Linked DNA regions of Schizosaccharomyces pombe. The gene in region 2 interacts genetically with the main gene of each other region. Each region holds a gene or a part of one and is shown on either strand. Other genes may lie near its edges.

The links.
Region 1: mutations in ntp1 (region 2) and ftm7 together harm fitness more than expected from each alone (negative genetic interaction), as found in Schizosaccharomyces pombe (one large-scale study listed by BioGRID).

The regions. Positions count from the first base shown.
Region 1 is NC_003423.3:4,501,393-4,504,179, reverse strand, and holds ftm7 (transmembrane helix domain-containing protein), read left to right. Parts: upstream 1-1,783; coding exon 1,784-2,224; downstream 2,225-2,787. Other genes in the region: SPOM_SPBPB2B2.19C (transmembrane helix domain-containing protein), read left to right, coding at 1-270; SPOM_SPBPB2B2.18 (uncharacterized protein), read right to left, coding at 516-653, 894-1,112, 1,323-1,393, 1,455-1,488.
Region 2 is NC_003423.3:204,557-210,180, reverse strand, and holds ntp1 (alpha,alpha-trehalase Ntp1), read right to left. Parts: upstream 3,601-5,624; 5' UTR 3,104-3,600; coding exon 896-3,103; 3' UTR 540-895; downstream 1-539. Other genes in the region: protein Atg38, read right to left, coding at 1-259, 356-379; protein wwm2, read right to left, coding at 4,711-5,532.

The DNA.
Region 1 (2,787 bases), 4.3 Mb from region 2:
GTAACAACTTACGAAAATGCTTCAAAAGCCAGATTTTTTAGAAGAATGCTAAATGCATTTATCTTTATATTCTGTGCATCTCCAATGTTGCATTACCTGTCGAATATTATATTTGGAAACTTTGATTACAGACTGTCGGTGATCATTGGTGATCTTTTCACTTTTATGGAGAAAATTGCTTTTCCATGTTACATAATGTTTCCCACCCATAATGAAGCACTTGCCTACAATCGAAATGTAGCTGAAGAGGCTCAAGAGAAAATGATTTGACAAAAACCATGGTTTACTTGATTCACCTTTAAAGGGGTTACCGGGATTATTTTATTTATTATTTGTTTATCAATGGATTAATATCCAGTTATTTTAATCTCACTTTTTTACACAGAAATTGTGTAGTAAGTTCATTCTTATTTAATATACCACCTATTTATTTTTTACAAATGAATATTTTTTTACTGGAACGTTTTAAATACACATAACCTTTGAGTCGATGTGAAATAATGTTTTGTTCAAACTTAAAAGTTGCGAATCTGACATATAGACAAAAAAAAAATAAAAAGAAAAAACTGGTTACCTTCATAAACATATTTTGCTAATTTATTGAATTTAATTATTTTCAACTTGCTTTCCCATTTTCCCAACAATTTTTTTATCTATAATATATATTTTACAAAATTAATATAGTACATCGCATGGTTTTCTTTAAAACGACATAAACGTATAATAATAAACGGGGATTCAAAGTAATAAATCGAATCCAAATCAACTTTCAAATACATCCATTTCATCTACTTTACCCTTATATTCCCCTTCATATCCCCAACAAAAAACAGGAATTTGCGAAAGTAGTAAATGGTAAAAGTGAATAAATAGAATCAAGGTTAAAAGCTTACTTGTATGCATAAGAAGATAACTCCCTCCTCTTTACTTTTGCTTAAAAACAGATTCTGAGATTCGGGACTAGCATCGGTAATATAAGTTTTTCTTTCATACTGTTGAGTACTAGCATCAGAACCCTTAATGGTAGGAAGATCATCATCATGACTACGCCTTTGTTCAATCGAGTAAACATTTGCTGGTTCGTGCCAGTCACACTGAGAACAACAAAGTACCTATTATTAAAAATGTTAGCAAGCGATCGCTAACAAGTTGAAAAGTAAACACCTCCAACTATTCCATGGAAAGCATGTAACAATGAAGATCAATGAATGGCTATTAGCTTAACAAACTTGTAAACTCAAAACAGACTAACAACGTTTGTCAGGCACTAAGAGCAATAATGGAACAGACTTCATATCAAACGCTTTCTTGAATGTTCTTACCTTATTCGTATAAACCGGAAGAACAGGCACAATGAGAACCGTTACGGTTTTCAACTGACGACATACTCGGACTAAAAACAAAAGAAAGAGCCAATTGCTTTCGAAACTACTGAACTTGTTTATTTCTCGTACCAGTCTTCTTTGAACTAAAAAAAAAAAAAAGCATTAGCAAAATGTGTTGTCAAACGGATAAAAAGAGAACAGGAAGAAGATTGCTGGAAACAATTTTAAAACAGCGAATAAAAAAAAAAGAAAAAATAATAATAATAATAAACAAAATACGAGTCGCTAATTTTTGAAACTAATCGCTTCCAACAACTGTTTCATTATAACTTCACCATTTTAATATTGTCCCCAAACAGCATGATTTAATTCTCTTTCACTAATTTCATACCACACAGGACACGTAAGTAAAACATCCTTATAATCGTCAGTGGATATCCACATATCTCGTAAATGTAATGGCATTGTTAAAAAAAATAAACACTCAAGTGAATAGAATTATGAAGAATTCGAGTCTAGTTCAAAATATTTGTTTTGACAGAGTCCCTCTATTTATACCAAGACTAAGCCTCACAGTGAAATATTGTCTAGCAGTAAAATTGCTGATTTATTTATTATATTGTTGGTACATTTACTCGGAAGTACCATCGGTTTCATCTAAATTCCGATCCTTTACATTTGGATGCGTCGTAGTATATCATAACAAATTTTTTCCTCGTTTCATTAGAACTCACTCCATTAACTCCATTAGAACGTTTTCTAAATTTCAAGTCATTATACTTTTCTCTATTGAGAAAGTCACTAGGTCAGAAAGCAAGAATCATTCTTACTCGAAAACCGATATTAGTGATCTGCACCAGGGCTATAATAATCCACCATCAAGATTCATATCACGATAACAATTCCATAGTATCTTGCTATATACGTGTAATGAGTATTCGATACTGGCTTGATTGCTATTTCTCCTTTGCTTGTAATCGTAAAATTGACTTGAAGATCTAAACCTTCTAATGCAATCATTGGAATTCTGCCTAACCTGATCAAATATGGCTTGATCGCCGTTATGTTAAAAGCAGAAGCTATGCCAATCAGTATGATTGTAACTTACAAAAAAATATAGCACAACGACATACAACATTATGGTACAATAAAGAGGACTTGATATATCAAGAACGAGGTTCAGTTTGTGCTCCGTTTATATTATTGTATTTCTATATATGACATTACTTGATGCAATCGCTTAAATATGTACTTTTGTGTAGTTATACTCGCAAGTACAGTAGCATTTTTAAAGTAGCGGTGATGTTGACGAATGGTTTGTTTCAAATCCATCCATTTCAATTTCAATTGTAAATTTCTCTTTTTCAATTATTAATCAAGTAAGTTGAAGTGTATCAGCACAATAAATTCTGACTATTACTACTCTTAAAATAAAACTCAAGCGAAACTAATTTTTAATAGC
Region 2 (5,624 bases):
AAGAAGTATACATAGGTGATAATCTCGTAGACATTGACATTGATATTGGTGTTTGTTTGTTTGGCAATGATTCTCGTAACTCGCGTATACGAACCATCAACTCTTCGATTTGGTTATTTGCGCATCTTTTAATAAGAGGCTGAGCTGTGTTCTGACATATCTTTTCAAACTGACTTTTTGCTAATCCATAATACATAATTGCTTGTGAAATTTCTCCCAAAACTTCCTGATTTTCCCCATCTCGGGCGTATTCATGCGCCTAATTTTGTTAACATTCACATTCAAAAGCGAACGATAATTACGAACTTCAAACACTAAATTTACTCATATCCTTATCTCTTTAAGCATCTCTTACCTTTCTTAATGAATATCGAACCATAACACATTTTAATAATATACTGTTGTTGTGTAAGGAAGTGGCCAACTTATGTTGTCTACAAATGTGAACGACATAATACGGTACATTAACTCAAAATAAGTTTCTAGAAGACAATTCCTTCAAAAAAAAAACTAATAAAGTGATAGACACCAAATTAAACATTAGAGTTATATTCGGACTAAAACTGCAACAACAGTACTATCATGGAAATTATAAATTAGAATTGAATCGTAAGGTAAAAAATTCATTTACTACTTCTTTCTTTTAAGTAAAAAAGTAATAATATCGCTGGTGATAAGCTTTACTCATAAATTTAAATAGAATTAACTATTGTTTCGTAAGGGAATATTCGCCAAATAGAACCTTCATAGTAGAAGGATTTAATGGAAGGTATAACATGTAACATAACAATGGGTTTTAACCGGTCGATAACCAAAATAACATAATAAGAGAATAAAGCTAAAGGCAACTAAAAAAGTAGACAAAGTCGATTATTTTTTTCAAGCAAACGATAACTTAATTTTTATGAATGGAAAGGTTTTCGAAAGCAGGAAGAGATTCTTCCTTGATGCCGGCAAAGAAAACATCAGGAGTCGTACAAGCACCAAGAGCCCGACGCATATGCGAATTACAGAATGTAAGGCCGACTTCGTAACTGGCATTAACCCATCCAAAACCTTCGCGAGCAACGCCTTTGATATTGACACCCTGATTACCATACTCAGCTTCAACACGATGTGGATCAACTGGTCTGGTCAAATCATATTTTTCAACAACAATACCATTAAAATCAACAAACGATTTAGTAATAGTATATAGCCAACGATATACAAGTCTACGAGTCTCCTCTTCATATCCGTATCGAATCAATCCATACCAAGCTAAAATCTGCTGAGGGCTCCAGCCATTAGGATAATCCCATTGACGGCTGGGATTATCAAGACCCACTTTACCCAAGCTTCTCTTTGTACCAGCAACTATACCTCCAGCAACTTCAAACTTGGGAAGACTAACATCAACAAATTTTGCGGCTTGACGGGGAGTTGCCACACCGGCCCACAAGGCCCAGAAAGCAGTAGCACTTTCATAAGTACTCTTCGTTTCTAACTTCGTGTTGTAATCATACCACATCGAATCAGCTTCTGACCAAAGATACTTTTCCATTGCAGCACGACGAGCACGAGCACGACGATCCCAAATGGCAGAAGTTTCTATAGTTCCGTTTGGAAGTACAAACTTGTCATCGAAATATTCTAAAATCACATGTGAGATGTCGGTTTCATATTTGTATAGCAACGAGTTCAGATCCACGGTGGCCAAGTCAGCACAAACTTTTTCCAACCGATAAGTAGTATCATGCCCGCTTTCGCGAACTGCGCGGTCGTGCACGAAATACTCATCCAACGCGGGTTCATGAATTTGTTGGTAATTGTATGCATGAGTAAACTCCTCAAGAGTCATATGATACTTCTCCATGTAAGGACGAAGCAAATGCTCAAAATGAGAAGCTTCAGTTTCCGGAGGAATACCGAGTCCTCCAGGGCGATAGCGGGAAAGACCAGTTTTGGGATCCAGTCGTGGAGTGGCAGTCCAAACAGTGTGATATTCTTTTATAGTCGCAGAAAAGGCCCGATGCAAAAAGTCTAAAGATCCTTCTTCGTTTTTTATACGTTCATAAACTCGAAGGGCCATATCGGTCAAAAATGGAGGCTGGGAGCGAAGAAGATAATAAGTGCGGTTGGCATTCAAGATCTTACCGTAATAGGTAATTTCAAAAATAAAATTCTCCACCATACCTTTCGCCAAGTCAACCCGATCGTCAACAAGCAAACCCAGTGATTCAAAGTAAGAGTCCCAGCCGTACAGTTCATTAAACCGGCCACCAGGAACGACAAATGGCACACCTCGAAGATGTGTATTGCCTTCATCATCTTGGTATTTTTCCATTGCAAGTGCAAGTAACCCTGGCTTATCATTTACATCTCTCACCCATTCTGGAGTAATCTCTTCCGGCAGATATTCGACCTGTAAATTCAAGTAAGGCCTTTCCTTAGCAGCGCGAACATAGTATTCATACATCTCTTGTTCGGCTTTAGGAACATAAATTCGATTCACGTGTGATCCTGATCGGTCTTTGGTATCACGGCAAATAACATCCAAAACACTGGCATCGATTCTTCGAGTAAGGGCATCCCAAAAGGTACCTTTGATGAGTCTAGAAAGTCGGTTCACAGGGTTTTCATTAAGTCTTCGCTCATCAAGTAAAATATATCGACGTCCATAATCCTTTGCCAAGGTCAATTCCTGAAGTAAATTTGACAATTGATATGTGCCGCGAAGCTCATACAAGCGATATCCACCCGAGCTAGCGCTGCCAAGGGAAACAACTTTAGGTCCGGTATCCTCGATGGTGATTTGCATGTTCCGGTCGGTGTCTTCAGATTCCAAAAGTGCATTCAATGTCTTATCAACATCAACAAGAAATTTTCGTGGTTGTTTATGTTCATCAAGACTTCCACGTCGACGTAAATTCTTTAATTCTGGTATAGTTGGTGCGGCGGATGCCTCCATCGAAGTGGATAAGGTGCGAGGACGGCCAGCACTTACCCGAGTCGACAAGTCTGTATCCTTGGAGTAATAACTCTTAGCGGTTGCAAAGGGATTGTCATCATCATTTGAAATGGCTTCTGTATCCACGTATTTAGAGGAAAATTTCGAAGGCATATGAAACAAACTTATTCGTGTTAAATATTTTCACTATTAGATCAATGTATATATAAACTTCTTTAAAAATGTATTTTTTTTCTCTTTATTGTTCCTATTCACGAATGATAGCAAATGATGGAGAACAAGGTTATTCCGTTGATGGCTTCCGTTTCCTTCACTACAAGCTAACGATATATCAAAAATTCAAAAGCTCCTACGAGGAATACGCTCACTTTCCAAAGCAATTCACAAGATAAAGTGTTTTTTTTTTTAAAAAAACAAAACAAAACAAATTCCTGCTTTTTCGTTCTAAGCTATAAAATAGCAAGCAAGATTTCAGAAAATCGACACTAATTACGTATAAGGAAAATCCGTGTCTTTAACTGAATTTGAGTAACTCTACCAAATTCTTAGTACCCCAATAGGTATAAATCGTTAAATCCTAAAAAAATTTTAAAAGAACTGCTAGTTTCTTCTATGTATCAGTCTATAATCCTGTCGTTGATATTTGTGGTTTGGAGTTGCTAAGTTCTCATACATTCTAAACCAAATTTACGCTGATGTAGTTCGTTACTCAATGACGTAGTCTACCTGACACCTATAGAGCTTATGGAAGTTTAAGGATGCGGCAATAGGATAGCAGCAACGGTGAACACCATCGCTATAATCAAAACAATGAGCTGAAACATAGAAAGAAGATACGAGAAAATTGGCTAATTAAGATACAACAGTAAAAAAGGTATATACGGACGCCTCTGAAACAGTTATCACTGATTTTAGTGGTACTATTGAGAAGGTAATGAGTTTTGTAAAGAACCACAATATTCCGTATTTTTTAACATTGAGAATGCTCTATTGACTCGTTATATACCACGAGATGAAACCCTATGTATGTGTAGTTTGAATGCGGCACTGTATGTTGTTCTATCGGTTTTTTTTTTAAACTTGCACTCTTCTGGTTTGAAATGATTTGGCTGTTATAATTACAAGTTGCAATTCGGTTAATTAGCGGTACTTACCTCTTCTATGTTAAGATAAACATGTACTTTTAATGAAGAAAGTATACAAATCTGACGAAGTATTGGGATAAAAGACTCTGAACTAACCGATTTACGCAATATTAATAGAAGCTAATCTGACAGCTTTAAATTTCAAATTTCAGATTGTATACAGCCAAAGTATACACGTACGCATTTCGAAGTAGACTGGGTTTGACGTGTGCGAGATAATGAACATAATAGATATTTTTTAGAATCTTTTAATACTTGCGCATAAAATGTTACGTATGAACAAGCATGAATTGTTTCCACAGCTATAGATACAGCACTTATGTTTACCTATATCTAAACTGTTGCATTGAATCATTCCTACATAAACCTAAAAAACAACAACACAGGGATATCAAAATTGCTTGCTTGCGAGCTTTTCTATGTGCACTTCTAAAATTGCCCAGCTCTACTTAATACTTTCAGAAAGTCCTACCTTAATAAAATTCAATTTCACTTTAGCAAAATAACTGAGTATAAACATAAAAAATTTTTTAACGGTATCGACTTAATATCTATTGCGCAATATACTCACATAAAAAGCTCATAAACAAATATTTAGTTCCATGTTTCTCAGTCTCACCAACCAGGACCGCCATGACCTCCAGGACCACCCCCAAAGCCTCCGGGGCCTCCTCCAAAACCTCCAAGACCGCCTCCAAAGCCGCCAGGACCGCCTCCGAAGCCACCAGGACCGCCCTCAAAACCTCCAGGGCCGCCTCCAAAGCCACCGTGACCACCATGATGATGGCCTTCACCTCCAAAGCCTCCAAAGCCTCCAAATCCACCAGGACCAGGAGGAGGACCGCCAGAACCACCACCAAAACCTCCGAAACCACCACCGTTATGACCACGATGGTGAAAGAGATTGCCAAGTGCGTGTGAAGCCAGGCCACCTAAGGCCAATCCACCTAACCCTGCAGCGACAGGAGCAACGTAGCTTGGTCTACTGTAAGAGTTGCCAGTGGTGTAGCCATTAGAAGAGGTAAGCCCACTGAACAGCCCTTTATCACTACCATCTGCATTGGTAGTGGTAGTGGCAGCAGCATTAGGATAGTATGCAGCATTGGTATTGGCAGGGGCATTGGGGTTATATGCAGCGCTGGTAGTAGCGGCAGCATTGGTAGTCGTGGCAGTGTTAGCATTGGCATTTGCAGCAGTATTAGCATTGTATGCAGCATTCGTATTCGCAGCAGAAGTATTGTTATTGTTATTATACACAGCTGTATTAACGCTTGTGGCTCCTGGAGGAGGAGCAAGTTTCAGATTTTCGACTGGTGGTTCCCATTGGGGCTGTGGATTTTGAGCTGACTCGTTAACATAAAAGTATGTTCCATATTCAGCATCCCATTGAGCAACCCATCCACTGGGCAAACCTTCACGAGTTTGATAGACAGACATTTTTTATATGATTAATTCTGTAAAGACACAGAGTAAAAACCTATATAAACGATATAGAGGCTTAGAAAGATTCTAACCAAAGAAAAGAAAAA